4 linked regions of the Rhinolophus ferrumequinum genome follow. The protein of the gene in region 1 interacts with the protein of each later gene in a pairwise test. Links are inferred from orthologs where the notes say so. Each region holds a gene or a part of one and is shown in the gene's direction. Other genes may lie near its edges.

What was found. The genes of interacting proteins can lie anywhere in the genome.
Region 2: the proteins of LNX1 (region 1) and KHDRBS3 interact in a two-hybrid assay, tested with the Homo sapiens proteins (2 studies listed by BioGRID and IntAct). The link is inferred for Rhinolophus ferrumequinum from reciprocal best matches to the Homo sapiens genes LNX1 and KHDRBS3.
Region 3: the proteins of LNX1 (region 1) and SRSF1 interact in a two-hybrid assay, tested with the Homo sapiens proteins (3 studies listed by BioGRID and IntAct). The link is inferred for Rhinolophus ferrumequinum from reciprocal best matches to the Homo sapiens genes LNX1 and SRSF1.
Region 4: the proteins of LNX1 (region 1) and TRIM54 interact in binary tests that used the Homo sapiens proteins (3 or more experiments, as listed by UniProt). The link is inferred for Rhinolophus ferrumequinum from reciprocal best matches to the Homo sapiens genes LNX1 and TRIM54.

What each region holds. Positions count from the first base shown.
Region 1 is NC_046288.1:16,132,837-16,140,224, reverse strand, and holds the start of LNX1 (E3 ubiquitin-protein ligase LNX), read left to right. Parts: upstream 1-4,375; 5' UTR 4,376-4,440; intron 4,441-5,497; 5' UTR 5,498-5,624; intron 5,625-7,388.
Region 2 is NC_046297.1:68,445,724-68,452,805, forward strand, and holds the start of KHDRBS3 (KH domain-containing, RNA-binding, signal transduction-associated protein 3), read left to right. Parts: upstream 1-4,075; 5' UTR 4,076-4,143; coding exon 4,144-4,231; intron 4,232-7,082. UniProt on the Homo sapiens protein: RNA-binding protein that plays a role in the regulation of alternative splicing and influences mRNA splice site selection and exon inclusion. Binds preferentially to the 5'-[AU]UAAA-3' motif in vitro.
Region 3 is NC_046304.1:27,597,793-27,605,545, forward strand, and holds the start of SRSF1 (serine/arginine-rich splicing factor 1), read left to right. Parts: upstream 1-4,746; 5' UTR 4,747-4,905; coding exon 4,906-5,099; intron 5,100-5,510; coding exon 5,511-5,695; intron 5,696-6,033; coding exon 6,034-6,206; intron 6,207-6,406; coding exon 6,407-6,601; 3' UTR 6,602-7,753. UniProt on the Homo sapiens protein: Plays a role in preventing exon skipping, ensuring the accuracy of splicing and regulating alternative splicing.
Region 4 is NC_046296.1:53,402,352-53,409,816, reverse strand, and holds the start of TRIM54 (tripartite motif-containing protein 54), read left to right. Parts: upstream 1-4,458; 5' UTR 4,459-4,811; coding exon 4,812-4,979; intron 4,980-7,465. Other genes in the region: DNAJC5G (dnaJ homolog subfamily C member 5G), read left to right, coding at 781-893, 1,098-1,359, 1,781-1,922, 2,366-2,412. UniProt on the Homo sapiens protein: May bind and stabilize microtubules during myotubes formation.

The sequences.
Region 1 (7,388 bases):
GTGGTGATATTGTGTGGATGGAAAGGATAAGGAGATGCCAATGAGGTTTAACAGGCAGGCAGGGGCCAAATCATGAAAAGCCTCGCGTGCCAAGCAACGCAAATGAACTGAAGGTGAGATGACCACTGGCAGGAAAGGAAGAGGCACTGACTGGGATTGCCAAGGTGAGTAACAAATGCCGCTGGCATCGCAGAGCATACCTAGTGGCACCAGTATTTATACTTATAGGCAGAGAGAAGGCTGGCACCATGGTTCCTCCAGGTCATCAGGAAGTGAGGGTGCTGGCAAGGAAGTGGGATCTGAGCCAGCTAGGCTTGAAGTGAAAACAGTCGGGAACAGATATTCTTGGGCCACCTCCAGGAACCAGAGATCACAACCAATTCAGAGGAGAAGGCACAGTTTGAGGAAGGGAGTGAAAACCCTGAATGGGTGAGAAAATAGAGAGTAGCATTCTCAGATTTTTTTTGAAATGGAGATTTGGGGATGATAAAAAGATCGAAGGGGTGGCCCTGAAAATGGGCAGTTTAAGAAGAATAGAGATAAATGTCCTTACAGTTGAGGAGGTCAAGGATGCCAGAGGGGTCATCGAGAAGGATCTGGAAGCCCTCAGGATGGGGCCAAAGTTCACAAGGAGAAGAGACGTTTCACATCTTTGATAGATGGTATTGGGTGAGTATATATGAAAGAGCCAATAAAGAAAAAAAAATATGACAACCTCCAAAATAGCTGCAGCCATTACCAAAAAAATTGAATAACTGACCTGGTTTATGCAAGGATGGACTCATAGAAAAATAAAGATATTCACAGTTGTGGAATAGAGGCCTTGCGACAATTGTAGAGACAGAAACAATAAAGTCCTTTTTTTATTCCTATTAAATACAAGTGTGCTGGCCACAAATGTGTGTAATAAACCTTCATAAAATGTGTACCATCTCTACTAACTGATGTACTCCCTCTACCCCAGAAAGCACACAAACCAGAGAAGTGTCTGCTCTAAATCGTAGACCTAAAGAATATTCTAGAAGCTCATGTGCAAACCAGGCAATACACAGAGTATGAGTTTGTGGGAGAAATGTAATGTCTTCCACATATACAGAACCAGATGGCATCTATCACATCAGCTGATATTTGTGATTATTACTATTATTTTCCATAATTGCCCTTCAGGGATCTGCTTATTTGCATCATTCTAAGTACTTTTAATTAGACAATGAAAGATTTGGAGCTAAGCTAGTTTTTAAAAAACCGAGGCCAATATGATGGAATGTATACAGCAATTCCATCTCATGATGCTAAATAATTTCAGCCAAAGAGGATTTTTCTGGAGATGACTTTTATTAAAATCAGATGGAATATGTTTTTTGTTGTGGCATTCGGTCTTAGACAATTCTACAAATATGCCATGAAAAAAACAGAAGGAAGCAAACATGGGGCGAAGTAATTCTAACGAATCATGAGGCATAGGCTTAGCAATAGGTTCATTGCCAGGAGGAATCCTTGAGAATGCCAACCTCCATTGTGGTGACTTAGAAGGAAAGGGCTTTGAAAACAGGCCTCCTTTCCCCCTTCAGATTTCCCTGTCAAGACACATAAAAGAATTCAAACTAATCAAAAAGCCCAAGTGAACCGGCCGGTTAAGTAGGACAGGCCCAACCTTGAGTTCAGAGAGCTTTCTAATGCATTCCACCTGCCTCTCCAAGGAACAAAATTGACAGGATGTGGTGACTGCAAAGGAGACTTGCTTCTAAAGAGAAAGATGCTCACGTGATAACCGAAATGGCATATCACGGAAGTTTTGCCTAACACTGAAAATATTGTCACTCTTAATACATTACCCCATGCCCAAGATACTGAATTTCCTTCATTCTTCCTTTTTTTTTTAAAGAAAACAAAAACTGTTTAATCATTATGAGAGAAGTAGCCAGCAGTACTGTGAAGACCTGAAGCAATCAGTCCTTGAGGGTCTTTATAATCTGGTCCCAACTTAGCCATCCCAGTTCAGTGTGCGATGGATCCTCCAGCAGGATGAATATTTCATTGCGTGGTATTTCCTCTCTCTCCGCACCACACAGCTTCCTCCCCGGCACACACAGGCTACGATGGCTATGGTCACCCCGCCTCCACCTACGCTGGAACTGTTTGCCCTTTTCACTGTCTCCAAATTCTTCAAGGTCCAATTCACGTTCCGTTCTCCATGAAATCTTTCCCATTGGCACTAGCCAACACCAATCTTTTCCTTTTCTGATAATCCCTCCCACTTACTGTCAAACTAGGGATAGAAATTGCACTGTGTTTGGACTTACATCTTGAAGATTCCGAGGTTACCTCTGAGCTCATGGGTACCCTTGGGCGAAGACTGTGAGAATGGTACGGGAGGTGGCAATGGAGCAGTATGTGTTTCATATTCGCCAACCCTGGTCTAAACCATCCATCGGGGCAGTGGTTCATATTGGAATTTAATTTTATATTGTCTCACATCACCCAGTTCTACAAAGTTCCATGTTCTTATGGCTGTTCTGATAAGATTTTCAGATTTTAAAGGTGATAGACTGATGAAGTTACAGAGAAAGACAACCATAAAAGAGGTCATAGAGAGCTACCACTGATCAGTCTGAAGGGGCCCCTCAAGTTGGCTTTCCTTTCTTGGGGTTGGTATGATAGGCCTCAAAAAGATTTCAAGTATACACCAGGGGTGATGGATTTCCTGGTGTGTTTTCTCATTACACACACACACTCACACACACTGAAGGGATAAACCAGATTACTGGTTCATTTGCAATTGGAGACATTCCTTCCTAGACACTACACTCCCCAAGGCCACTTCTTCAAGGTACTTCCTTCTGAATAGAGGATAGGTAAAAAGCTTCATAGTGTTTAGGAAGTTGCCCAGTGAGCATGAAATCAAAGCCTTCCTCCCCTTTCTTTCCAGAGACTAAAACTGCACTGGCTCTGCCACTTGCTGGTTGTGCTGTCCTTAAGCAAACGCAGCCTCTCTATGCCTTGCTTTTTCCAGCTGTAAATGTACGTAGCAATAGTGCCTAACTTACAGACTTGGTGTAGAGCGCTTAAGTGGCACCTGCTAAGCACTTATTCAAAGTTAGTTCTTTATGAATATTTATATTGTTTCACCAATACTTTAGAAATATCATTTCCATAATAATATAATAGCCCGAATGAAATAATGAAACTCATATTGATTTTTTAAACCTTTAAAGATTATTCTAAATCCAGGAGTACCAAGACACATCTCACTGGGGATGGCTGATTATGTGAAATACACCTTTTTCCCCCCCTCTTCTTTTATAAACCCTTTTTGGGAGTGAATTCCACTCCTGGTCCAACTCTTGTTCTTAATTTTTATTCATCAGACCTTTTATGTAGATGGTTGTGTGTGTATGTGAATATAGTAAGTGAAACCCCATAGCCTTGAGGCCTTTGGATAAAGCATTATGCATTGTCACTTCTTGCAAATTCTTTTCCTCTGCACGCACCAGACTCCCAGCCCCAAACCTGACTATGATTCCCCTCTCCCAAGTTGGACCTGGTGCCCTTCAGAAAAGGTGAATGATTGACACACAGGGAAGGCAGGCTGCTGGAGCCAAACCTTCTAGATGATTCATCAGGTTGGCAGGCTCGCCCAGTCCCTCCTCCTGTCCCTGGGGAAACCCTGTCCAGTGAAGGGGTAGCCTTTTTTGCTGATGTTTCTCAATGGAGTATCAAACTGGAGGACTGGTACTTTCCCCTGAAAGACCTGCATATCAAGTCTTTGCTGCCTTCATCTTTGTGTTGTTTTTAAAATTAAAGAGTAGCCACACCTACCTTCGTTTCTATTGGATAAAAACATGAATGGGGGATTTTTGTTTGTTTGTTTTTTAAGCTTCCAGCTCTTTGCGATGCACACCCAGTTTCCAGGTGAGGAAGGTAGTTTAGAGCAGTCTGGAATGGCTCAGTGGCTCAGGAGAGGAGCCAGCAGTCTTGCAAGAGAAGTACCAGAGCCTGCCCTGCACAAACACCCCCACCTCCCACCCCACTGCGCCCTTGACTAGAATTTCTCCTCCTTTCCTCCCTGGTTGTTTTACAAGGTATTGAATGACTAGCTATACCCAGTCCCTGCCCAGGCCTAGGGAGCGAATCAAGACCTGGCTTCCTTCCCTCCTCCTCTTTTCTCTCCCCTCCCATTCATCTGTCTGTTTCCCCACCCTTCCCCAAGCCACAACACCAATCAACCAACCAACTGGTCGAAAACCCTCTAAAGTAGTACAATATTAGAACCTGTGGAACCAAAGCAATTACAATATCAACAGGAGGGGGAAAGGGGAAAGAGGGAGACAGTATAGGGGGAAAAATAGGAATTTCAACATTTTTTTTCTTCAAGGGGGAAGAAATGTCTCTGGGCAAGCAGGTCATCCTCCTGGGAAGGAGAAGCCACAGTTTCCCCAGGTAACACATTCCAGAGAGTGAATGAATTGTCCAGAGATGCTGGACAGGGGCCACAGAAATACACAACGTTTAAATCCAATGATGGGAGTTGTTTACAATCCTCTGAAAGATGCCAAAGGGTTTAACAGTCAGTGGTAATAGCTCACAGCTGTGGTGCTGGCTGGGTTGTAGCGTTAACCTGTCCTCTCCTGCTGGAAAAGCTGAAGCAACACCGTGACTTGCACAGTGTCACACTCCAAGCTTGGGACAGAAATAATTCTGACTCCTCCTTCCTGGCTCTAACCAGCAGACAACGCCACATTATTACTGTACTATCATTCAAATCTGAATCATTTAAATTGCTCCTAATTGCAGGCCTATGGTGAACTGTAACTGCCATGTGACTAACTGCAGGGCCAGCAGAGGTAGGAATGACTGAGGTTTGAGACTCCTGAATATGGAATGAAAATGCTGGAAGAGGGTAGGAGTAGGGGAAAAGCGTTTGCAAACTTGACTTTGAAACTGCTGACAAGTGCCATACTTAGATTTTGTTTTCAATGAATTTGAAATGTCATCTCCAGTTTGTTATTATATTGTAATAGAGAAGCACTTGGGGTTCAAATGAATGCCATTCAAAAAGGCATTTGAGTCTAAATCTCAGATATTTACCAAGAGGTCAATCTTCACACTCTTCCTTTTTATGCCCACTAAACTACTGTCGCATTTTGATGTTTAAACTTCCTTTTAAACTCTTTCGTAGGCAGCTATTGAGAGGCGGGTGGGAGGAGAGGGCCAGGGAAGCATCCAGGCTTATAAATTCAGATCTGTCCACGGGGCTGGCCACGTGTCATGCTCAGGAAAGAAAGTACATTCCATCCAGCAAATTGCTCTAACTGATTCATTTGTCCACGCAGAGACGCCACCTACCTGCTCGCAGGTATTCAGGTAAATGACAGGTGGGCGGGACCTACTGACTGTTTCAATAGCTAAGGGCCCAGCAATGTTTTATCTGTCCAGGCTCCCGTGATGTCACACATTTCCTGCTCTCCACCGACCAATGCCCTCCTCCTTCCTCTAGGCACCTGTACGCAGAGGTTGAGGCTGGTCACAGCTCGGCCGGCTCGGGGAGCTGCTGGATTCACCCACAAGGCATGGGAGCTGCAGGGCTGCCACTGTTTTGAGAGCCCCACACAGACACTTAAAAGGTGAGCTGAAACTCCTTTTTTCTCCCTTGGCATTTAGACCACTGGCCCCTGAGGGATCCAAATCAGGAATTTGAATGAAAAATTTAAGCTGAATGGCTTAGCCCTGGGTGTTTGTCCCAGAGGGAGAAGCCCTTTTGAGAGGGAAGAGCAGAGGGATGCCTTTGACATTTTCGTTGCACAGGAAAGTTCTCCCAGGCCAGATATTTAATCCTTTTTGTTTCTCTTAATCATTAATCCAGCTTCTGCTTGTCTGGAAAGTTGATCTGATTTTTTTTTTTTTTTTAACCCTGGAGTGGAGTAGAGACTTTTTTGAAACTTAACTCAAAGGTGCAGACCAGTTCAGCCCGTTTAATGGGGGTTGGGAGGCCAGCGCCAACTGAATACAGAATTGGCTTAACGGCCTTATTTTGCCTTACTTTCTTCATTCATCACACCAGATTTCGATCTAAATCCGTGAAATGTTCGTAATTTTCCCCCCCTGAAAGTCTGTTTCTCAGATAGGTAAGTTCTGTTGCCCTACTCAGAAGCCCCTCCACTCCAGTTTCCCTTTCTCTTTCTTCTCTAAAAAAAAAAAAGTCTGCTGTTTTCTTTGTTCTCTGTTGAACACTCTTTTTAAACCACTTTGCAGTCTGGTTAGAATTATTTACTTTCGGACCTGCGCTGGCTGCCTGTTGACCTTGGGTTAAAGTATGGACTATTTCCTCATTGCTTTACAAAAACGTAACTTCAGGTCTGACATTTGATTTTTTTGAACTTGTGCACGTTTTCTCTCTCTTTTTCTTTTAATAGCAAATATACCAAGGAGATTGTTCTGCCAGGACCAGACTTTTTTTTTTTTTTTTTAAGTAATTTTACCTCTAGGATCCATTTTTGTTTTCTTACTCTTGATCACACAGCCGGTACTACTTCTATTCTTGACAGCCCAAGAGCCACACTCTACACCCAATCCTGTCGTTAGAGAACGGAAAGAAACCACCTCCAAACCCAGTACCCTACTGGGATGAACTTGGGAGAGAAATCCACCTTCCAGGCAGTCATTTCATTCTGGGTTCCTTCGTAGGTTATGTTTTCTGAGATTTCAGTTAGCAAATATGTTTGCAAAAGAATAACCTGTTGGGAATTATGGTCACACTCATTCACCCAGAAATTCAAACTGCATGTCAATTCTTCAAAAGCATTAAGTTGAAACAAGCTGAGAAAATTTTTGTCTCCAACAATTGCTTCTCACCGCTGAGAATCTGCCCTGTGCTATTGTCAACAACGCTCTTAGTACTTGGAGGCTTGTATTATTCTTTAACTGACCTTTGTGTCTGTTCTTTTCCCTGAGCTGGTGTGTTTGGGTGCTGGCTACTGCTTGTTCCTTATTAGTGTTCTCACTTGATTCAGAGTTCTCACTTGATTCAGAGTCAGCAGAGGAGAGAAGAATATCTCTTAGACCCTGAATCTTCTGGATAAAAACTTGTCTTTAAAGTCGCAAACTTCTCCCACCAGTTTACCATGGTTCATGGTTCTTTGCGCGGTAGTTAATTTATGATTGAACAAATCATATCATCACTGTATGTCAGCCTCTCTGGCTATTAAAGGAACAAAGCTGTGGCTACCAGGCCCCCAGATATAATAAAGGAAAAAAAATATAAAGATAGCAGTTCAGGGTCAGGTTATCTAGAATGCAGTTTGTCTCTTGAGTAATTTGCACATGAGCATTGTCTGAAAGGATGAGAAGACCCGCAGTGGTTCCCTTCCTGTAGTTAACTCCATCTCTTG
Region 2 (7,082 bases), on another chromosome or scaffold:
GCAATGACCGTGGGAGGCAGGTATTTTCTCTCTCCACGCTCAGAAACATCAAGTAGCTGACTCAAGATCACATAGCTAGGGAGTAGGAGAACCGGGGGCCAAGCAGAGCTCTCTCGGGCCCTCGGTCCAGTCAGATTGGCACTTTAGCCCCCATGACACTGCAGGGTCTGGGGTAACTGGGGTGGGGCTCTCCTTTCTAAACAAAAGGAATAGGAAGCTTGTAATGTGAGCAGCAATTTGTACAAACATGACAACTGCCTCAGAGACACACCCCCTCCATGTTGGTATATTCTGATGACACTGAGTTTTTGCAGGAGGGTCTGACCTACTGTAGTTGGTGTCACGAAGGCGGGGGGGGGAAGGCATGCGTTTGTCCTCTCTTCCGGGCAGGGCGGGTGGTGAGAGGAGACAGGTGGGGATTCTGACAGACAGTGTCATGGTGGTACTGGGCTGGGGCTAAGGGACTTGCTGTGCGGCAGAGTGGTTCCTGAGAGAGCTGCGTGACACCGAGTGAGGTTGCTTTGGGAAGTGTCCTCTGCCTCTGGGGTTTGAGTTGAATCCCTGGCCTGTGGTTCTCAGGAGGAAGGGCAGCCACTTTCTTATTGCAGCTGAGGACCTCCCATCCAGGGCAGGTGCAAACCATGCAGTGGCCCAGTGGTCCTGGGCAGGAGTGGCTGTGAAGAAGCCTGTGTTGTCCATAGCTCGCCCCTTGTACGTACCCAGGGCAGCCCCTGCACGTGGTTTGTGCTCAGTGAGTACTGGTATGTGCCTCTGGTCTGGAAGTCAGAAGACCTGAGTGGAGGTGCTGCTTGTAGGAAAACGACCGCCTTTCCCCAACCCGATTTGCTCATCTTCAAAGGGCTCACAGGATGGCCATGGCATGAAAATCAGAGAGTCTGCAGGAAGGCGCAGAGGTGCCGCCAGTCAGCAGCTCAGCCAGGTTGGTGGGTGGGGACATTGCCTGAGCATCTCACAGAGACATTCATCTCCTTCCTCCCTGGGGGGCCCACATGGGCGCTCATGGTGCTGGGTACCTGCCCTCTTGGAAGGTTCTGTGACAAGGAGGGGAGAGCAGAGGATTCAGTGCCTTTGCTGTCGATGTTCTGGTGCACAGCCCTCCTCCCCAGCTGTTGGCGAGACGTCTCTGCCAACTGTTTAGATGAAGGCGGGGGATGGAGCCAGTCACCAGTGTCAGATTGCTACCTGGGAGGGCAGAACTCAGGAGGCGAGTCCGTGGGCCTGGGATCCCTTGCTGACAGCTGTGGGCCTTAAGTAAAGTATCACACTGCTCTGAGCCTCGGTGTCCTCATGGGTAAGTGGTGATGAATAATACCTTCCCTACAAGGTGTGGAGAAAACTGAAAATCGTGAATGAAAGCCCCTGGCATCATGCCTGGCACTTAGTAAATGTTTAATTAAAACAGTGATTACTCAAGGTTTGGACCGTCACTGGGACCGAAGTTCCGAATGGAAAGGAGAGTGTAAGATCAAGTGGAGAGGGGTTCACCTGAGCATCTGGTCCCCATTCTCGTCTCCTGGGGCTCATCCACGTCCCAGACACTGTCCTCTTCCTCTCTTTACAAGGTGCTGTCAGAAACTCAAATCCTAGAATGTAATTCCTGTGTTGTAGGCATATAAGCCAGAGGTATATGCCTTCCATTCTGAAGTGACAGGGGAAAACGTTTCCCCACAAATCCTTCCAACTGCCCTCCAGGACTGCTGGCATAACCCTGGTTTTGAAGATGTGTCTCCAAAGCTCAGACAGGTTAAATAGCTGAGGTCGTACAGGGAGTCAGAGAGGAGCTGGAACTGCAGCCATCCATGTTGCTGTCCAAGCAGCTCCGCTCGGCCCCATGTCAGAAAGAGTCATGTTGTTCCAGGCCTTTCATCAGTCTGCTGGGGCAACGCAGACTGTCCAGCAGGGAGGACCCCAAGGGGTAGGGTTTGCTAAATGCCCTGGAAGCTTCAACCCAGGGGAAGGAGAGGTTCGAGAGACCTGGAAAGCAGTCATGTGGGGGGTGGGGGGGGGAAGGGTGGGAGCTGAGGAACCCAACAAAGACCACCAAGCATTTCCAATGTGCTGGAAACTGTTTGGGGGATTTCATTGCGCGTTGATGTGTTCCATTTTCATGATTCTCTTATGAAAGGGGTTCTACTATCATCCCCACTTTCAGATGAGGAAACCGAGGCACAGAAAAGTAATTTGCCCAAGATACACAGCTAGTGAGCAGCAGAGCCATGATTTCACATTCAGGCTGTCTGTCCCAGAGGCCACACATTTAACCTTCCGATTTGACTGCCTCTTGCACGTTTAGACCAAAGACGACAGAGAGAAAATTCTTACGGGGGACTCTGAAATGGCACCTTAGGTGGGAGCCAGGTCAGTCTAGGGGTGGAGCAGGGCGTGGGGTGTCTGAGAGTGAGGGCAGTTGGGCACTGGGGACTGAGACTCAGAGCAGCTCAGAGCTCCTTGATCTCCACTCTCAGCATCTGTGGTTGAAGAGTGGTCTCTATTTGCATCATTGGGTTGCCTGGGGGACTGGGAGGACGGCTCAGCCCCCCGCAGCTTGCCAGAGGAGTGGCATGCCACTGGCTTATTCTTCCAGCAGACATTTCTGGTGCCCCCATTCCTGCCCCAACGCACAGGTGCTGAAGATCCTCCCTGCAAAACAAAATTCCAGCCCCTGCGGTGAGATGCCCATGGTCTGATGAAAACAGAATGACAGCTTTCTGTAAATGAGGGCTTACCAGCCCTGGTGGGTGCATAGAGCTCTGACCAGCTTTGCTGGCTGGGGCCGGAGGGGCGGGGGGGGGGGGGTCCGTGGGAACCTTGGAAGGCTGTCCAGGGAAGGTGACATTGAAGCCAGGACTTGATGTGGGGGTTTGGTAGGGGAAAGCAGGACAGGCTCCTTGGCCTCCTGGGGGATGGTTACTCCACAAGCTCAGGAAGTCTGAAGACGGCCTGAGAGAGGGGGAGGCGAGGGACAGAGCACACCAGCATCCACGTGCTTCCCAGGGACTCTCCCCGCGAGGGGATGCGCTGTGGCGTCCCCAATCCAGGCACAGCCGCCTTATGGACGAAGAGAATGACAACCCGATGGCAACTCGGGATGACAAAGACGCCCTGAAGGACACGCGCTTTTTTATGTAATCGACCTGCCAGCGAGGGTCTGGGGAAGGCGCTCACAGCCCGGCGCCCAGCGGGGACCGCGAGCCTGCGTTTTTTCCTTGCAAACAGGAGGGGACAGCAAAGCGAAATAAGTTAGGCAAGTCCTGGGAGCCTTAAAGAGCAGGGCGGTTCGCCCGGCTGCCTTTCCCCTGCGCGCGCTGGGGCGAGCTTGCGCTCCCCTCCCTTCTTCTCCCCCATTCTGACCCCTGACCCGCGGGTACCACTGCACAGCTCTCCCACCGGGGTTGCTCGCTGGGTGACCTTGGACCGGCCGCTTGACCTCTCTGGGCCTCAGTTTGTCGGTCTCTGCCCCTGGCAATGCTGTAACAGCATCGCGGGGCTCTCCCAACGTCCCCAGGGCTGGAGGAGAGCGCGGAAAGGGGGGAGGAAGAAAGGAAGAAAATAAAGCGGAAAGAGCGAAGTAGGAGAGGCAGGTAAGGAGGAGGAGGAGAAAAGGGGGAGAAGGGGGGGGGATAAAGAGAAGGAGAGGAGGGAGGCGGCGAAGGAGGGCGGGGGGGGACGGGTGGGATGGGAGGGGCACGGCCCGGCGCGGCGGCTAAGAGCGCGGGGAGGGAGAGCGGAGTGCGGGTCGCGGCGGAGCGGGGCGCCGGCGGCGGCTGGCGGGGCTCGCCCGGGACTGCGGGAGGCTAGCTGAGCGCGCCGCCGGTCCGCCCGCGGGCCCGCTTGGAGCCCGCCCGCGCCCGCTGCCCTCTGCTGGGGAGCGGGGGGCCGCATCCGGGAGGCGCGGCCGCCAGCGCGGGGCACTCAGCGGGCGGCCCCCCCTCCCGGGGACCCGGGCGGCGCGGTCGGTTCCCACCCCGTGCCGCCTCCGCCAGGCCGACCGCCGGGCTTGGCGCGGCCGCGGCGACCAGCCCGGGTTCCGCGCCGCTGGGGCGCGGGCGCGGTCGCGAGTTGCGGGGCCGCCGCTGCCCGCCCGCGTCGAGTCCGCGTCCGGGGCCCGGGCGGCCCGCGAGCATGGAGGAGAAGTACCTGCCGGAGCTGATGGCGGAGAAGGACTCCCTGGACCCCTCCTTCACACACGCTCTGCGGCTGGTGAACCAAGGTGAGGGTGTGCGCCGCCGGTCGTTAACTGACGCCCGAGGCCATGGGGGCCGGGAAGTGGCGGCCAGGGGGCTCGGAGACGGGAGGGTCGGCACCGGGTAGGATGCGGCGGGCTTGGGAGGCAGAACTATGAGGATGGCTGGAAATAGACCTCGGGGAGGAGAGGAGGGCCCCAGGTAGCAATCGGGGGGGGGGGCATTTGGGTGGGGACCTGGGAGATATGGGACACCTGGGGAAAGCCAGAGATGTGAATTTGGGAGACTTGGGAAGGAGAAGCCTGGGGCATTGGGATGACACTTGAAGGCAATCCTTGGGGACTGGAGGACACCCAAGGGAAACTTCTGGGTGGGGGACAGCGAACATCTGGGGACTTTGTGGGGCGGGGGTTGTATTATCTCATCGGAGGGGAAGATCGGGAGGTAGCTCTGGAAACTAGTGTGGTTAGTCTAAAGAACTGGAGAAAGAGCTGGATGAAAATGGAAGGATTTGAGGAGACCAAATGCAGAAGATGCAAAGGGAACAGGTGCTGGGTTGTTAGTGAGAGTTTGAGGACCCTGGAGGAGGTTTGCGGGCAGACCCCAAGCCCGGGAGGGCAGGACCCAGCTGCCCTAGTGGCTGAGCCCAGTTCCCGCTCTCATGTCTGTATTTCTTCCATGCCCAGGCTCTAGCAGCCCTGGTGGGGCGGTCTGCCCTCCCTGGGGGGTGCACAAGTCATGCCAAGCCTCGCAGGCTGGCTGTTGCAGGGATCCATAGGGGAGAAGAGGTGACACAAGTGCCCCTTTTTGGCTTGCCTGTCCTCATTTTGGGAAGAGCTGAGTGGGCGACCCTCATTGGTGGCTGGCTCAGGGTTCAGAACACTGGCCAAGGAGTCTGCTGCCCATACCATTTTAGCACTAGTCCAGCCAGCTCAGGGTTTGAACAGTCCTGGGAATTACAGGACAGGGGCACACAGGGCTGAATGGAGGCGTGCCTGCCTGGGACAGCGTCCACTGGCTTGTTCATCCTCCAGCTTCCTGAATAATCTTCTGGGATGGAAGGTAAATGAAGTCTTCTTTCCCGGGAGCAGACCTCTTCTCCTCCTGTGTCTGGAATTCACGTTGCAGATAACGATGGGTTTGGGCCCACTTGTCTGCTTTTCTTCTGGGTTATGGCAGAAACATTATCCGGTCAGACGTGTTACCTTTTGCATGGCTCACTCTGTGCAGTGACAGTTTGTCGTCCCCGAGATGAATCGGGTCTGCTGGTCTTAACGCTGACCCTGGCTCTTTCACTGTCGAAAGTGAACAATGAGGCAGACATATTCTATTTGTACATAGATATCTATATTTTAAAACAGCAATCTCCGACGTTTGCCGATTACAACCAGTTCCTCAGACTGATGGTGGTGGAGAGACTCACTGTCTCCAAGAATTGAAGCATGATATTTGAATTGTTCAGCAGGCATCAGTATAGAGCGCTTTCCCATTTTGTTTTAATTTTAGGCTCATCTTGCTTGCTTTACTAAAACGGGCTTGTGGAAAGGTAATGGATATGTATTCTTAAATTTTATTCCCATGCCCTTCTGAACAGTCCTACAGTTAGGTTTGTACTTCTTGCTCTTTATGATTTACATAGATCTTTTGTTGCCTGCTGGGCTGTCATCTCTGTGAAAGAAATTTCTTTGTACATTGTGTGAGATGAGTGGCATTAGAAGTATTCTGGACTGTAGAATCGAGTGAATTTTTCTTCATAGAGAAGCTGAATCAAACTTACGTTGTACTCAGTTAAGGAAACAGTTTAACTAAAAGTTTAATGAGTTATTTCAAAAGTCAGATTTTTTGTGTGTGCCATAGTATTGTGTTGCTAATACATTTAAAGTTCTTTTGGTTTCTGTGTTTTTACTAGTGTTAATGGCCTCTGGTTATTTGAAATAGATATTGGACAGTATTGCTATTTAATGTTTTTTTAGATGTTAAACCTGATTACCTTACTTTTCCATCAAAAATGTAATTTTTGTAAGAAGTACATTTCTCACTCCTTCCTTATGTGAAGGAATAAAAGTGCTACTCATGTGCTCTTATTAATGTCAATTTAGATTATTTCAGACTGAAACGTTTTTCCCTTAAGTCAGAGGCTGATATCTAGGATGCAAAGTCCTATCGTTTAAAATATTAATGACGCTGTTATATAACTCGAAAATTACAAGTGCATTTCTAAAAGTGTCTTAAATCTGAATTTGGATGGTTATTAGGAAGCTTTGATTTTAAATCTGGTAACCATCTTATATTATTGACTTGAGGAAAGCGTTTTTATTCTTAGCTATATTTTTGACTCTTTGCCTCTAAAGGAAACTGGTTTTATTTTAGAGGTTACTCTGAATCTCGATACTAGAGTTGATATTCCTGCGCTAACTTGTACAGAGATGATGGTTCTGCAATGTGAATCTTCATTGTATTGTGGAATGGGTGGCAGGTCCAAATGCTAACACTACCTTATGTCTGCATAGTATTTTAAAGTTTCCAAGGCTCCTTAAGGCGCCTGCTATCCTGTTCTGTTCTCATGCTTGTATCTTTGGGAGGCTCACATGGATGTCTCCATTTCTCAGGGGAGAGAGCTTGGACTCAGCTATGCAAGCTGGGGGCAACTGACATGGATTGCCTTTGGACTCAGGTCTGTTATCGCTACCTGTGACTCCCCCAAAAGGTGGAACAAAACACTTTGCACGTGCCAATTAAAACCGTGCAGAAACCAGGTAATTAATATGCTTGCTTCTGGGTGACTTGATTTTCTAAATAAGTTTCTTCGTGTGTTTCTCCAGACGTCTTCCTTGCTGAAGTAACCATTCCTGGTAGATGTAGCCTACAGGATTTTAA
Region 3 (7,753 bases), on another chromosome or scaffold:
CAACATCACTTCTATGCAAAAATGGTTCCAGAAACCCACACTCTGGCAGTGAGCATTTTGAGCCAATTAGAGTACCCCCCCCACAAAAAAAATGCAACCAACTGGAACAGAGCAACAGCTCCCGTTCTAGGCTGGCAGACCAGCAGGGGAGTTTGCTTTCACCAGGTCTTGGTACCTTATCACTAAACTGTAGTAATGACTGATGAAGCATGTGGAAGCAACATTTCACTTGAAAAAGTGTATTACTTATGTTTACAACTATTAACAATGTAAGATCTTACCCATGACAAAAACACCTATGAGACAGAGAACATGACAACACTGAATATTTGAATCAGGTTCAAGCAAAAATTACAAAAGCAGACTATTTCCTGGCAAACATTTTCTGTAAAGGGCCAAGTAAACTTGTGGACCATGTAGTCTATGTTGCAACTACTCAACTCTGCAAACAAATTTAGAAAAGTAATTCTGAGAGTTTTCAGCTAATCTGGGGTACTTTCTAAAACAATAAAGAGGAAAAAAATAATCACTCTCTCAAAATTTCAAATAAAAGTTTATTGAAATTACTTCTAACATACTTGGCATCAGTATTAACATGTAATACCACTATTACTACTAATAGCTAACATTTATATAGGACTCACACTATAAGATTTAATTGCCAAAAAAAAGGGCAATATTTTTAGCAAATAAAGCATACCTGCCATATTTTTAATATAATTCCTTAAAGACCCATTTACTCACTCCAGTTAAGAAATGTGCAATATGAAGTGGAGTTTCAATTTTTAAGAGAAAGAGCTAAGTAGGAAGAGGGAGAGAGAGAGTAATAATTAGGAAGAGGAAGACATGATGACAATATACCTCTTTGTAATAGATCACTTTGAGAGCTATTTTCTGGCAAAATCATATCCTACTGGCATCAATGATGGAACAATAAAGGTGGAAAGAATTAGCCAAAAATAAAACTAGAACCAAAGAATGAGGGAGGCCAGTCCTAAAATATGATTACCAAGAAAATATTATTTGTTGACTTATTTGAGCTTGAAAACTGGCCATCCTTACGATAGTGAAATGAAAAACCATCCTTATACCCATTGTGTCTATCCACTGACAGCAACATGATGATGTTTCCATAGAAACAACATTCTGCTCATCTAACATCCCACCTTTTTCAAAGAGCAGTCAGTAAATCGTCAATATTGGTTTTAACAGAGAATTTACTGGTAATAAAGGAAGTTACAGCAGAAATCTGTCCTCAGCATAGTTTACTAGTGAAAATGAGACAAACATAAATTAAATAAAAAGACATATACTACTTCTTCCTTTTTCAAGAATATTTACAACTAAAACAAGTGGAACAATGAATACAGAATTATGCAAGTGAACTGTTCCTGGAGATAACTCCCGTACACAATATTCCGAATCTTTGTGTCTCTTTCTTTACCTAGTAAAAGTAAGTTATCCCCAAGGAAGACAAGCATTGGCATTGACACATGAATATTAAAAACAGAATTTCCAGATTAGGGTAGCCATATTTCGGTGCAAATTACTCTGGAACACTCCCACCCCAGTAATGCCTTTAGAGGAATGGTACTACAGAGTGATTTTGCTACTTGTGGAGTTATTTTCCCCCCAGTCATTTTTAACAAGTTTTGAGTTATACTTTACATACTGTACAACTCACTCACTGTAAGTGCACACAATTCAATGATTTTTAATATATTTACAGAGTTGTGTAACTATCATCACAGGTATAGAGTTTTGAGTGTTCAGCAAATCACTGAAAAATTGGGTCTTCTGATTTCAACATTAACAGTAATTAACTTTTTGAATTTCTTTCTTTTCTATTTCCCCCCCCCCAAGTAATTATTTCCAGGGTAAAGTATAGTGCTAACACTAGCATATGCTTACTAAATTGGACTGAAAGCATTTAAAGAGTTTCTTTTTGAGGAAGTCACTTTTCCTCAAACACCAACAGTGTTAAAAATAAAGCAGCTTCTGAGAATTAAGCTGGTAAAATCCATACTTAATAAATTAGCTAATTGTGGGAGCAATCCATATAACTGCCTGTGAATGTATAACTGAGGAGTTTAGAAACACTCTAAACCTCTAATTAAGAGTAGGATGTAATCTCAGAAGGCAAAACTGCAAGTGGTTGTAATTCAGTCAGCAGAAATCTAATCAATTGCCTAGCACACTGTTTAGAGAAAGTTGAGTGAAGATTAGCCTACAGAAAGAGAATTGCCAGTCTTACCCAGCTCTGTCCAGAGACACAAAATCCAAGGGGTATGAATTTTCCTGTCATTGAAGAGGTATACTCTGTGTGGAGCAGGGATCATTTAGCAGGTCTCACCATGATCTGAATAAAATATCTCTCAAAATGACTCACCTCATTTTGAGTTCTCATTTACTAAGCAACTTCCTGATTTGCTTTCCAGACCTGCCAAAACAGTTATCTTGGTATGTACAATTTGAGCATACTAGTTATCAAAAATGAATCTGCCCCACCACCCAACAAATGAACAAATCATTTTATTTATTTGCTTTCTTGTGGACTAAAATATGTTCATCAACTCTGGTACACTAATAATATCACACCCCGTAACTGTAATAATCACCAAGCCAATGTCATCCTGGGAGACCTTGATAAACAGCCGTCCAGACCTTTCGTGCCACATCCTGACCTCATCATGGACCCCAGAACCTATAATTTGGTTCTATTCAAATACAATAAAAGATGCCAATAGAGAAACAAGAATGTCCCATTCACTCATGTTAAAGTCTACCTTGTGTTCTTCTTAATTAAACAAAATCATAAATGATTTCATTAAGTCAAACACTCAAGAATAAATCAAAGCAAATTCACAGTTTTCTTATTTTTCTGGAATGAAAATGTCTTGAAATTAAACGCACCTATGTTTAAATCACTTCAGTTATCACTTACTTAACATTTATCAACAGAAGATGAACACGAATAATTCCAAATTGATGGATAAAAGTTAGAACAGAAAGAAAATGTGCTCAGTAAATAACTTGAATGAAAATAACGAATACATGAGATGACTGCAATTTTAAAAAAATTTCTCATCTCTCTGCTACAAACCAACTAGGACAGTGCTAGAAACTGAGTAAATTTGTTAAAAAATAGTGTCCATTTGGTCAGCTTCTCATTTTAAAAATTATCAGGGGTGGCCCATTAGCTTAGCTGGTTAGATCGTGGAGCTGATAACACCAAGGTTCCGGGTTTGATCCACGCATGAGCCACTGTGAGCTGCGCCTGCTTTTAAAAAAAAAATTATCAAGTTGTTCTCTTTTTAATTAAAGTCTTGGTTTCAAAAATATCATTGAAGGATGGTCAAGCGATGTCCTTCCCTCTAAAATTTTAGGAGGTTCCTTTTCCTTTTGGGACCTACAGCCCCCTTTAAGAATCAGATTAAAATTTCCATGCACATACATATACACATAATTTTAGAAACCATCACAGACAGTTCAAGGACTACCAAACATTTGTAAAATACATTCAATCAACTTTTAGAACTAAGAAATAATGACTATCTCCTAAACGATCTATTTTTTTAATCTCAAAGACACTTTGGATTTAGAATATCCGCACTTGTGCTCCTGACTTTACTGTGACTTCTGGGATGACCAGTCAAATTTGCAGTCCTTCTCTAGGAACTCACCAGACTATTACTGCAGGCATTTTGTGTAGTAACCTTATCCATGACTTCATCTTAACCCTCCCTCATTTTCCCATTCTCCCTGATTTCATCCAGTTTTAATAATTTTTTATGGTTATCTCTGCAAATTGCCTCACATTCCTGGGGAGAGGGATTGTTGCAAATAAATGTATAATGTATTTTAACATATGTACGACTGTAGGGGTGTTTAAAAAATTTGAATTCATTTACTAATATTTTAAAATCCCAACATTTCACATAAAAATTCAGATTTTAAATATCTCTGGGGGAAAAAAATGTAAAAAGTTCTTATCTCCCTGGGATAGCATGGAAGTAGGATCAATCCTGAGCAGCAACTATGGTCTCCAGTGATCACAATTCTCACATATCCATTTTGCCCATTTATATTACCTGAAAGGACCGGTAATGAGTTCAAAAAAAGGAACGAACGAATCACCGCCACTAGCACAAGGAGTGTTGAATTGAGCTATACTAAGTTTTAAACCAAAGGTGGACCCGTACTGACTGTACAATATTTACTAAGAAATCTAAGCTGGTTCCCTAAATCAGACACTTGTCTAAGCCGGCCAAGGCTTGTTCGCAGAAGGGGCAGGAAGACAAAGTCACGCCTTGGCTCCCGGACTAGGCGCACTCTCCGAGTTCCCCGTTTCCAGAGCAACTGCCTGGTCCCTCCCCCTTTGACTCCGCCCCCGGGAGTCTTTTCCCGCCAAAGGCCGTTGACGCCGCAGAGCATGGTGGGACAGGCTCTAGGCTAGGTTTCACCAAATCCTTTCAAGGGATCGAGTTGCTTTAAAGAGGTTCATTCCTGAGGAAACTGACTTTCTCTTAAGAGTCAAAAGGGATCAATAACCCCTTTAACGAGGGCTCTGTATCTTTTTACCAAACGGCTGGTCACTCCATTAGCAAACGACTCCGCAAATCCGCAACGCGGGGAACTTTTTTTTCCCTTTGCGCGGAGGGTAACGTCGCGCGTGCGTAAACGTACTTTCGCAGCACCCGTTACGCTCGTGCGCGTGCGTACTGAGATCAAATAGCTGCTTCCTCCCGCTTCTCTTCCTCCCTCCCCCCATATCCGTGCGCCGAGCTGATAAAGGCGCCATTTTGGAGGGGCCGCGGGAGACGTGGTGTCGCTGCGGGCTCGCTCTGCCGTGCGCTAGGCTTGGTGGGAAGGCCTGTTCTCGAGTCCGCGCTTTTCGTCGCCGCCATGTCGGGAGGTGGTGTGATTCGTGGCCCAGCAGGGAACAACGACTGCCGCATCTACGTGGGTAACTTACCTCCAGATATCCGAACCAAGGACATTGAGGACGTGTTCTACAAGTACGGTGCTATCCGCGACATCGATCTCAAGAATCGCCGCGGAGGGCCGCCCTTCGCTTTCGTTGAGTTCGAGGACCCGCGGTGAGGCGGCCTGGGCCTTGCGGCCTTGTGGAATTAGGTTGGAGTAGTTGGGGAAAGCTCCACGGCCTTAACATAGAGCATGGGAAGGTGGCTTTTAGGTTGGGGGCAAGACGGTATCGCCCAGGCAGGAGTTGAATAAGTAGCTGAGTTCGTGTGGCTTTTCGGATGGCTGGGCCCCATGGACTTTCTCAGACCGACTTAGTCTCGTAGCGGGAAACTGAGGCGTTGAGGGCTGGTGTAGTCTGGAGCCTGGCGTGCTTCTGGGTGGGGGAGGGGCTTTTCCTATTATGCGGCGCATGTGGGCTCTTCCACGCTGGGTGCGCATGTGCGGGGGGTCGCTAGTTCCCGGCTGAGTTAGCCGCCTCTCCGGGTCCTTTTTCTTACTTCTTTTTGCTTTCTGTGATCACGCAGGGACGCGGAAGACGCGGTGTATGGTCGCGACGGCTATGATTACGATGGATACCGTCTGCGGGTGGAGTTTCCTCGAAGCGGCCGTGGTACAGGCCGAGGCGGCGGCGGGGGTGGAGGTGGCGGGGCTCCCCGAGGCCGCTACGGCCCCCCATCAAGGCGATCTGAAAACAGAGTGGTTGTCTCTGGTGAGTTTACTGTTAATGTGGATTGATGAGAAGGGACAGAAACCACTTAACGTTTTCCTTGCGTGACCAATTTGACAAATGGAAGTTTTAAATTTAGCTTTCTGTGTGAATTGAGGAAACAAGGGTTACTGCGATGGAGATTTATCAAATTAGGTTGCAGTACCTAGAATATGAAGATCCTTACCTTACAGATAATTTTGGAGTCCGGATTCCAGAATCTTAGCTATTTACCTAGGATCTTAAATATAATCATTGTTAAAGTAATCTTTGTTCTAATGTAAATTAAGTTTAATGAGAAATTTAGGATAATTGGTATTGGAAAAAAAACACTTTTTCAGGACTGCCTCCAAGTGGAAGCTGGCAGGATTTGAAGGATCACATGCGTGAAGCAGGTGATGTATGTTATGCTGATGTTTACCGAGATGGCACTGGTGTCGTGGAGTTTGTACGGAAAGAAGATATGACCTATGCAGTTCGAAAACTGGATAACACTAAGTTTAGATCTCATGAGGTAGGTTATACACTTATTCTTTTCTTTGGCCAGAATTGGATACAGTGGTCTTAACAGTGGAATTTAAAGGTAAGATTTCAGGCAAGGGTGCCCAAGTAAAGTGCCAGATTTCTGGTTTTAGCTACATTGTATTCATTCAGCATGCCTGAAGACAGATAAAAGCTTAGATCTTTCAATCGAAAGTTCTGTCTATTCAATAGGGAGAAACTGCCTACATCCGGGTTAAAGTTGATGGGCCCAGAAGTCCAAGTTATGGAAGATCTCGATCTCGAAGCCGTAGTCGTAGCAGAAGCCGTAGCAGAAGCAACAGCAGGAGTCGCAGTTACTCCCCAAGGAGAAGCAGAGGATCACCACGCTATTCTCCCCGTCATAGCAGATCTCGCTCTCGCACATAAGATGATTGGTGACACTTTTTGTAGAACCCATGTTGTATACAGTTTTCCTTTACTCAGTACAATCTTTTCATTTTTTAATTCAAACTGTTTTGTTCAGAATGGGTTAAAGTGTTGAATTGCATTCTTGTGTAATATCCCCTTGCTCCTAACATTTACATTCCCCACATGTCTGATAAATTGTATTTTAAGTGATGTCATAGACAGGATTGTTTAAATTTAGTTAACTCTCCATGCTCTTCAGACTGTGATATTGTGTAAATGTCTATTCTGCTCTGGTTTGTGTGAACTGGGATATTGGGGGTGTTTGTGGTTCTTACCTGGGGAAGTTCTTATGTTTATCTTGCTTTTCATGTGTCTTTCTGTAGACATATCTGAAGAGATGGATTAAGAATGCTTTGGATTAAGGATTGTGGAGCACATTTCAATCATTTTAGGATTGTCAAAAGGAGGATTGAGGAGGATCAGATCAATAATGGAGGCAATGGTATGACTCCAAGTGCTATTGTCACAGATGAAATTGGCAGTATTGACCTTATACTAAAAGGCAAGGGTTAAAAATGATTATATGCATTTACCTTAAAACACTTGCAAACGTCTTATGCAGTTATATTTAACTACAATTGCTTTGCCTATTAAACCTTGGCAATTGTGGCAAAATTACATTGCCCATTTTGTAACTATTTTGCTCCCTTCCCCCCCTTTTTTTTGTTTTAATAGGGACTAATGTGGGAAGAACTGGCTAATTTGTCACAGTGCTTAGTTACAACTGTTAATGTGTGACCTGCTGTTGGTGTACATGTGGGTACAGGGTGTCTTTAATCCCAACCAGATAGAGTATAATATCAATACTGCTAAATCTGCATGTCCTCTGTGTGACTGATATAGCGTTGCTATTTCATTTTTTTAAGACAAAATGAAAGCAAATTACAGAATTCCAACATATTGATGTAGATAATCTAGTTGGGAATACTTTTTAAGTCTCACCTTCCCCTTTAAACTAATACTCATAATTGACTCATGTTTAAAACACTTTAATTTACAAATTAAACTGCAGGTGGGAACATTAGATTTAGTTTAGGCTTAGGTGGGTAGCAATATCAGTAAACTTTTCAACTACATAACTTTTTGCAACCACAAAACCTGTAATACGCT
Region 4 (7,465 bases), on another chromosome or scaffold:
GGAGTCCTCACAGCCAGAGGGGATCTGGGGAGACAGATCCTTCCCCTGTGAACTTGTTGCCTTGGTTCTGCTGGGGCACAGCCTCCCAAGCTCTCCCTACTCTCTGGGTCTTGCTTCTTGTTCCCACAGCTATATTTTTCCGCTTCCTTCTTCACCCCTCTGTTCACCCCACTGCCCCGTTTCTGAGCAGTGGCTGGGATAGGTTGAGAGGGGAGGCTGGGGGAAGAATAAAGTCTCCGGCCTCGCTTGTAGCACTGTTCTTTGGCCTGGCTACTGGACACCTGACCTATCTTAGGCAGTTTAGGATTTGTTCTGAATCGTTTTTTCCCTTGGGAATTGTGGATCTCCCCAGTTCCTGACCCCAACCTGTTCAGGGATTGGGGCTGCACTGGTCTCTCAAACCCAGCAAGGAGTTTGGAAAAGCCCAGGGCTGTTTACTTCAGGTGCTAGTAGCTCTGGACGAAATCAGTCTCTTCCCATGTTGAGACCTCTCTTTGCTCTCTCTAGGATGTGGGGTATCCTGAGGTCTGTGTAGCTGAAGGACACCAGAAAATGTGAGAAGATGTTTCCTCTTTAAAATTCGAATTTGAATGTCTTTTCTGGTCACCTGCACTCTTCTGCTAGTCACAGATCCCGCTCGTTGTTGTTGTATACTGTCCTTTTATAGTCATTTACCTGCCCAGTCCCTGAAGGCAATGAGTTTCCCGCCACTGCACGTTCACTTCTCTATGGCCTCACCTGTAAGTTCTCACGAATGCTTCTTCTCTTCTGACCTAGATCATGTCTCATGTGAATGAAGCAACCTATCAGCTGTCCAAAAGTGGGACAACTCTCTATGCAGTGCTGGAGCTTCAGAAGGGTGCCTCACCTGAAGACATCAAAAAGGCCTACAGGTTCAGACCTCAGCCCCTTATTAAACCCTGTAATTGCTTTCTGGCCCACTTTTGAATCCCTAAGTCTTCACTTCAGTGTGGCATGGGAAGGAATTTAGACTTGGGTTGCTTGCCTCCATCCATCCTTTCTACCACATCTTATGCATTTCTTCTTCCCGATCTTGAGACCTATTCCTGTCATTCATCCTAACCCTCCCTCCCCAGCCACTCCTTATTCTTTCCCTACCCTCCTTTTGGGTATTGCCTGGGTAGGAAACTGGCCTTGAAGTATCATCCAGACAAGAATCAAGGGGACGCTCAAGCAGCAGAAATATTCAAAGAGATCAACACCGCCCACTCCGTACTGAGTGACCCTAAGAAGAGGAAAATCTACAACCAGCATGGCTCACTGGGAGTGTATTTATATGATCACTTTGGCGAAGAAGGTGTCAGATACTATTTTACACTGAATAGTTGTTGGTTCAAGGTACGCAGTTCTTCCTAGTCCCTTAAGAATAAGGAAGGAGGAATAACCACACACCATTCTCTCTCACTCACTTCACTCCTGGCAAGACTCTTCTCTTAATGCCTCCGATATTATAAAGCCTTTACCCTCTCATGGTTTCTGTACACACTATTCTATTTAAAAACACTCATTCCTTACCATATCCTAAGCTAGTTCCTTCTCAATTTTTGGCTAAAATAATATCATACTCAAAAAAAAAAAAAAAAAGAAGGAAGGAAGGAAGGAAGTAACCCTCCTCACCTAGGACTCCTTACCTCCTCTCCTAGGACAAATGCTGCTTTTGTCTCGTTATTTGGGTGCCAGGAGGACTGCAGGAGGAGGGGAGCTTGAATGGATATATGGAAGAGCTGCTGGACTGAGACCATTCTTTCCTACCTTGTAGACACTCATCCTCCTTTGTGCTCTGCTCAGCTGTTGCTGTTGCTGCTGCTGCTGCTGTTTTTGCTGTGGAGCACTTAAGCCACCTGAGGAGGTAGCGAGCAGAAAATTCCAGCAGAATGTCCAAAATCAGCCTTCCAGATCAGGTGAGAACCATAGACCGGGACTGAGGTAACAGCTGGATTAGGAATGAAATAAATGGTTGGGGCTGAAACTGTGAACCCCTAAATATGAGAGTCTCAAGTTGGTATTGGGGCAAAGTGAAGAAAGAGAAAGGGAGACTCTTAGTTTTTGAGGGGCTTATGCCACAAACTGACAGTTTGAATGTAATGGCCTCTCGTGACTGTTAAGCCAAGAAAAGGCAGTAGTTGAATACAAGCTGGAGGATGTTGTTTATTGCAATTACTCAAAAGGAAAACGAAGTGTCTGAGATTATCCCCCTGCAGCTAAACGGTAAAATGACTGAAGTTCACAGCAGTGCCACCTAGTGATGCTAACGTGTAACTGCAAAGTAACGGTTTTCTCGCCAGGAGGCTAAAATACTGTTACTCAATGTTTGTATATGTATGTTTTTCAAATTCCATCATAGGAAACCAAGGAAATTTTAGAGAGGAAGACAATTATAGTGAAGATTAATATTAAAAGATGAAGAAGAGTGAGGTATGAAAACTGAAATGTAGCAATGATTAAAGGATAAGAAAAGAATATACACTAACTGCAGATGAGTCAGTCATTAGTGGAAAGTTTATATCCTTATAGTATGGACTACAGGTGTTTATATCTTTACCAATAGGGGGTTTGCCTTACATTCTGTGTGCTCATTCATTCTGGTTAATAAGATGCCAATTTCTTCTGCCCCTAGGTGCTGACCCAGTGAAGGTGACTTCTGCTGCTGCGTCCCCTGGACAGGTTGACTAGAGGAGCAAGTAGCCCTGTCCTGACATTGACCTTGATTTACCCCTCTTCTTATAAGCATCCCAACTTTAGAAGGCTGCCATTTCTGTCTCATCCTGGGAATACAGGGTCGACCAGCTACTCTTCTTTTTAGCTCCAGTCTCAATTTTAATCTGTTAGAGAGCAGACCTCCCATCCCTACCCTCAGACAGTGAAGACAGACTTTTCCCAAGCATCCTTTTTCCTGTGTCTTCCTTGGGATTTGAGTCAATGTCAGGTGGGGGGTAGGGTCTCTGAGTCACTTGTGATGTTTCCACCAAGAACCTGAGCAGGGTGGATCCCATCCCAGAGCTGTGGCACCAGCTAACCCTCCTTTGTTGCAACTCTGTGTAGCAAGAGCTCTTAGCATCAGCCTCATTTCTAAGCCAGTACACCTTTCTGGGGCTGGTTTCACCTTCTTCTGGTGCCCATACACTTGGCATTGCCAGCCTCATTCCATGCCCCCATGAGTGAGCTTAGCATGGGTTCTGTGGGTTGACTGAAGTTCACACATCAGTGCCTGTTTTTGCCTCCTTTTTTTTTTTTTTACCACATCTTACGCAGGCTGATCACGATATATTTTGTTTTAAAAACAGGGGCATGAAACATATGATACAAAAAAGATTGCACTTTTACAGACCCTTTCCCCACTCACGCCTCTTTGCACTGCCTGTTTGGTACCCTCTGTGCACCATGTATTTGCTGCCCACCCAGGACCAGAGCCTAGTAATTCCTCACACTTGCCTTTCCTGATTGGGAGAAGGACTAAGGAATGTAAGTAAATAAAAGAGCTTTTGTCCAATCCCAGTGCATACATGGGGCCCCCAAAAGACAAATTGTGCCTGGGATAGAGAAAAAGGCCTGTACGAGAAAAAGACAGAGGAGAGCTCCCCTCTGAGCCCAGTCTGCCTCAGAGGGCGGGAATCCAGGACAACTGTGGACTCGGGGCCGAGGCTGTCCGGACAGAGCCTTGTGCTTATGTCAGTGCCCTCAAATTTCCCTGGAGACCAATTCCCCCGGTGCTCAAAATAGGTGCCTGGCATTCAGGTCCTTTCTGCCCAGCTCAGCTTCTCTCAATTTCCTGACAAATCTAAAGTCCTTGGAGTGGCTCCAGTGATGTGTTTATGGACCAGAGTCCCACACTTTCTCAGGAGCATGCTCAGGAGGTCGTCCCTGGCACAACTGCCAGCTCTAGCATTCTGAGCTTCTTTTCCTTGGGTGATCTAAGAAAGTTCTGGGTGAGAACAAGAGTGGACCAGAAGTGTTGGACCAGAGCCTCTCTCTCTAGTTGCTAGTGCTCCTGTACAGAATCACGGGGTTCAGAGGAAGAGGGCCACTGGCTAATCCTTGGAGGCAGACATTTTCAATGACTGTCTGTCGGTCTGGCAAGATCTGTCCTTCGACCCTGAGCCATGTATGCTGATTGACTGTGTCATGCCGTTTGACTTTGTGCCACTGCCCTGGAAGAAGGGCCCGAGCCAGATGATGGGGGTCAGGAGGGCACAGGAGCCTTCTGAGTGAGAGAGCGAGTGAGAGCCCAATGCCTTTGCTGGCCCACCTTTCACCACGAGCAGTCAAGCTCACCCCTGCTCTTGCTCAAGAGAGCCACCCATGCCTGAGTGAGTCAGGGTCACTCACTCGGTGACAGCTGTGGCTCGCCTTACATGAGCTAAATTGGGAGTTGGAATGTCACACAGATGCCCCTTATTCCCCACCCCCACGTTAAAATTAATCTCCTCCCTGGGGAGTGAGGAATAAACAGTGCTGCCCATAGAGTGAACACTAGTCGTTTGGGGAACAAAGGGAGAAATTTCCAGGGACAGAATCACGCAGGGAGTGAGGGAACGAGAAAACTGCATGTGCCTGGCTGGGGTATAGAGCAAAGAAGAGAGAGACGAGAAGTGTCTGAAAGAGGCTGCCTAAGGACAAGGCGAATTGTCAGAGGAAGGGACAGGAGAGATAGCAGAGCTATTTCAAGAGTGAGCAACAAAAGGGAACACAAGAATCCATAGACTGTGTAAAGTAAAAGAGGAAGGGTTCTGAGGCAGTGAGGGAAGGCCAGGACCAGAGCCAAGGCCAGGGTAGGCACGATCGCTGAGGGGATGAACTTCACAGTGGGTTTCAAGCCGCTGCTCGGGGATGCACACAGCATGGACAACCTGGAGAAGCAGCTCATCTGCCCCATCTGCCTGGAGATGTTCTCCAAACCTGTGGTGATCCTGCCCTGCCAGCACAACCTGTGCCGCAAGTGTGCCAACGACGTCTTCCAGGTAGGCCGGGGAAGGGCCAGGGCCAGGGCCAGGTGAAGCACTGCAGACTTGTGGGAGACTTCTTATCAGGTCAGAGCTGAGCTCCCAGGTGATGGGCAGAGTGCTGTATGAGCTGGGTGGTGGCTGTCCTGGCTGAAGGGCAGAAGATGAGCTGGGGGCTTAGCAGATCCCAAAGTAAGCGTGAGTCAGCAGCTGCTCTGCAGGCTGGAGAGGACAGCCTGCGCATGGACAGAGGAAAGAAGACCCCTAGAAACTAGGAGAAAGGTGATCCTCCCCAGGCTGTGTAACAGTTTGCTAGAGTACATTCCAGTTCGGAGTTTCAGATTTTGAGAACATTATAGAAAATCTGGAGAAAATAGCATTGAGATAATGAAACATTAAAAAATAAACCCTGTGAGAAAAGTCCATTATGACAGTGAAACTATCTGTATTTAAGGCAAAGCTCAGCGCATCCATCTTTTGGGGGCAGAATTAGAGGGCAGGAGACTAGGAATCCTCCCCAACTAAACTTCACACCTGTCCCCCACTCCAGACTAGTCAATAAAGGGGCCTGCGGGTTAAAAAGGATTGAGGTCACTTAAGCAGAGAGAAGGCAGAGAAGAAATTTTATGTCCCAGAAATGCAACCAGTTTGGGTTGACATGTGGTCACGGGGCAAAGCAGAACTAATCAAATTCATAGATATCATTTTAGCTACTGGTTTCATAAAGAAAAGCAGCATAAGCCAGAATGGTTTATAAATGGGCTTTCTTGTTTGCCCTGTGCCAGAGGTATAGGTTCTAGTAATCTACAAAATGGGACAAACTTCAGTGAGAGTAAGGGGAAAAGACACACACACACCCCCCTTGCAAATAAAGTAAAAACTCTGAATAGATCAGAGCTGGCTGGCTCAGTAGGCATGGCTGCTATAAGGAACATCGTGAACATTCATTTCTTCATCTGTATCAGAAATTAGGAGGAAATGTGTTGAACACAAGTGATTTTTAACTTAACCACGAAAATGCTTCCTTTTAAGTTCTTGGGGCAGCATGTTTGGGGAGAAGCAGTGGGCTCATTGTCCGGCCATCCCTCAGCCATGCCTGGGACCCACCTTTTGTCTGCCTGCCGTCTGCCATCCTTACTAAGTACCCAGCCCCTAGTCTTTCCTGCCATCTTCCCATCGAGACCCATTCCCAACTCCTATTCCACTACGAGAATATTTGGCTCCAGAATATCTCAGAGCCAGTGATTTTCCCTCTCTGGGGGCCTAGAATGACTGTTACGCTGCACACCCTGGGTATCAAGTCATATATATATGAGAGCCTATGCCTTGCCCACCATCTTGGTTTCTCCCTAAGACACTCTCTGAACATCAGGCTGAGATGCCTGGGACGGAATGGCAAAAAGACTGTGTCATCACATCTCAGGAATTTGTAGTGAAACATCCTTTCATTAGAGCCTGAAATGTGGGAAAGAAAAGAGAAGTTTTAAAAAAGAAGGTAATGTGTCTTATAAAACAACAGAATATTAAAGTGAAAGGCACACAGTGTCGTCGGGCAGAGGGACCCAGGGACAGGAGGCTAGAAGATGTTTAAGTGACTTCCTTTGTTCAAGCCAGCCCTCTGTACTCAGGCATACTTACTTTGGTTCCTTGATGCTGTGGAATACTAGCTTGGAGCCTGAGAGACCTGGCGAGGCTTTGGGTCAAACCCTGTGCAGAATGTTTGGGAGCCAGCCTGAGTCCCAGGGCTTTGGGATGGTTCTGCGGATCTTTTCAAGTACAGAGCACCCCTGGGCCCTCCAAGGAGAGAAGAGTGAACAGCTCATTTCCTTGCTGCTTTATTTGGACTGGCCTGGTGGGAGGCTGACCTAGTTCTTTAGCTGTACTTATGTATATACATCTCAGTTGATCTCCTTCTGAAAGATGAGCATATTTAGTTTTTTCACACATTGCCTCCACATTTTGACAACTCTAGACATAATCAGATTGTCTGTTTTCTAAGTTTGGGGACAAGAATAGGACTTTTGGTTCCTCTATCTTCAAACCACTTAGCAAGAATACTCTTAGAACATCGCCTAGAAAGTTAACAGGACTTATACACGTGATACCAGTATATTATATTACACACACACACACACACACACACACACACACTTTTTTCCAAACAGTATAGGAGTTTATATCATGAAAAGTGAATCTTCACCTCACGTACTCAATTCCATTCTCCATATGGAGCTAGCCATTACCAACTTTCTTGGGTAGCCTTCCAGAAATTTTCCGTGGATAGGCATGTGTGTGTGTGTGTGTGTGTGTGTGTGTGTACACATACATTTAAACTAGACTCATTATCGTACACCTGCCTTTGTTCACTTACTCTTTCTTGGCAGTTGTTCCATATCCACATTCAGATCTGTGTTTTCCTTTTTCAATGGCTGGATAGTGTTCCATTGTTATGACTGGACCACAGTCTATTTAATCAGTCCTCTAAAACATTTAGATGGTGTCAT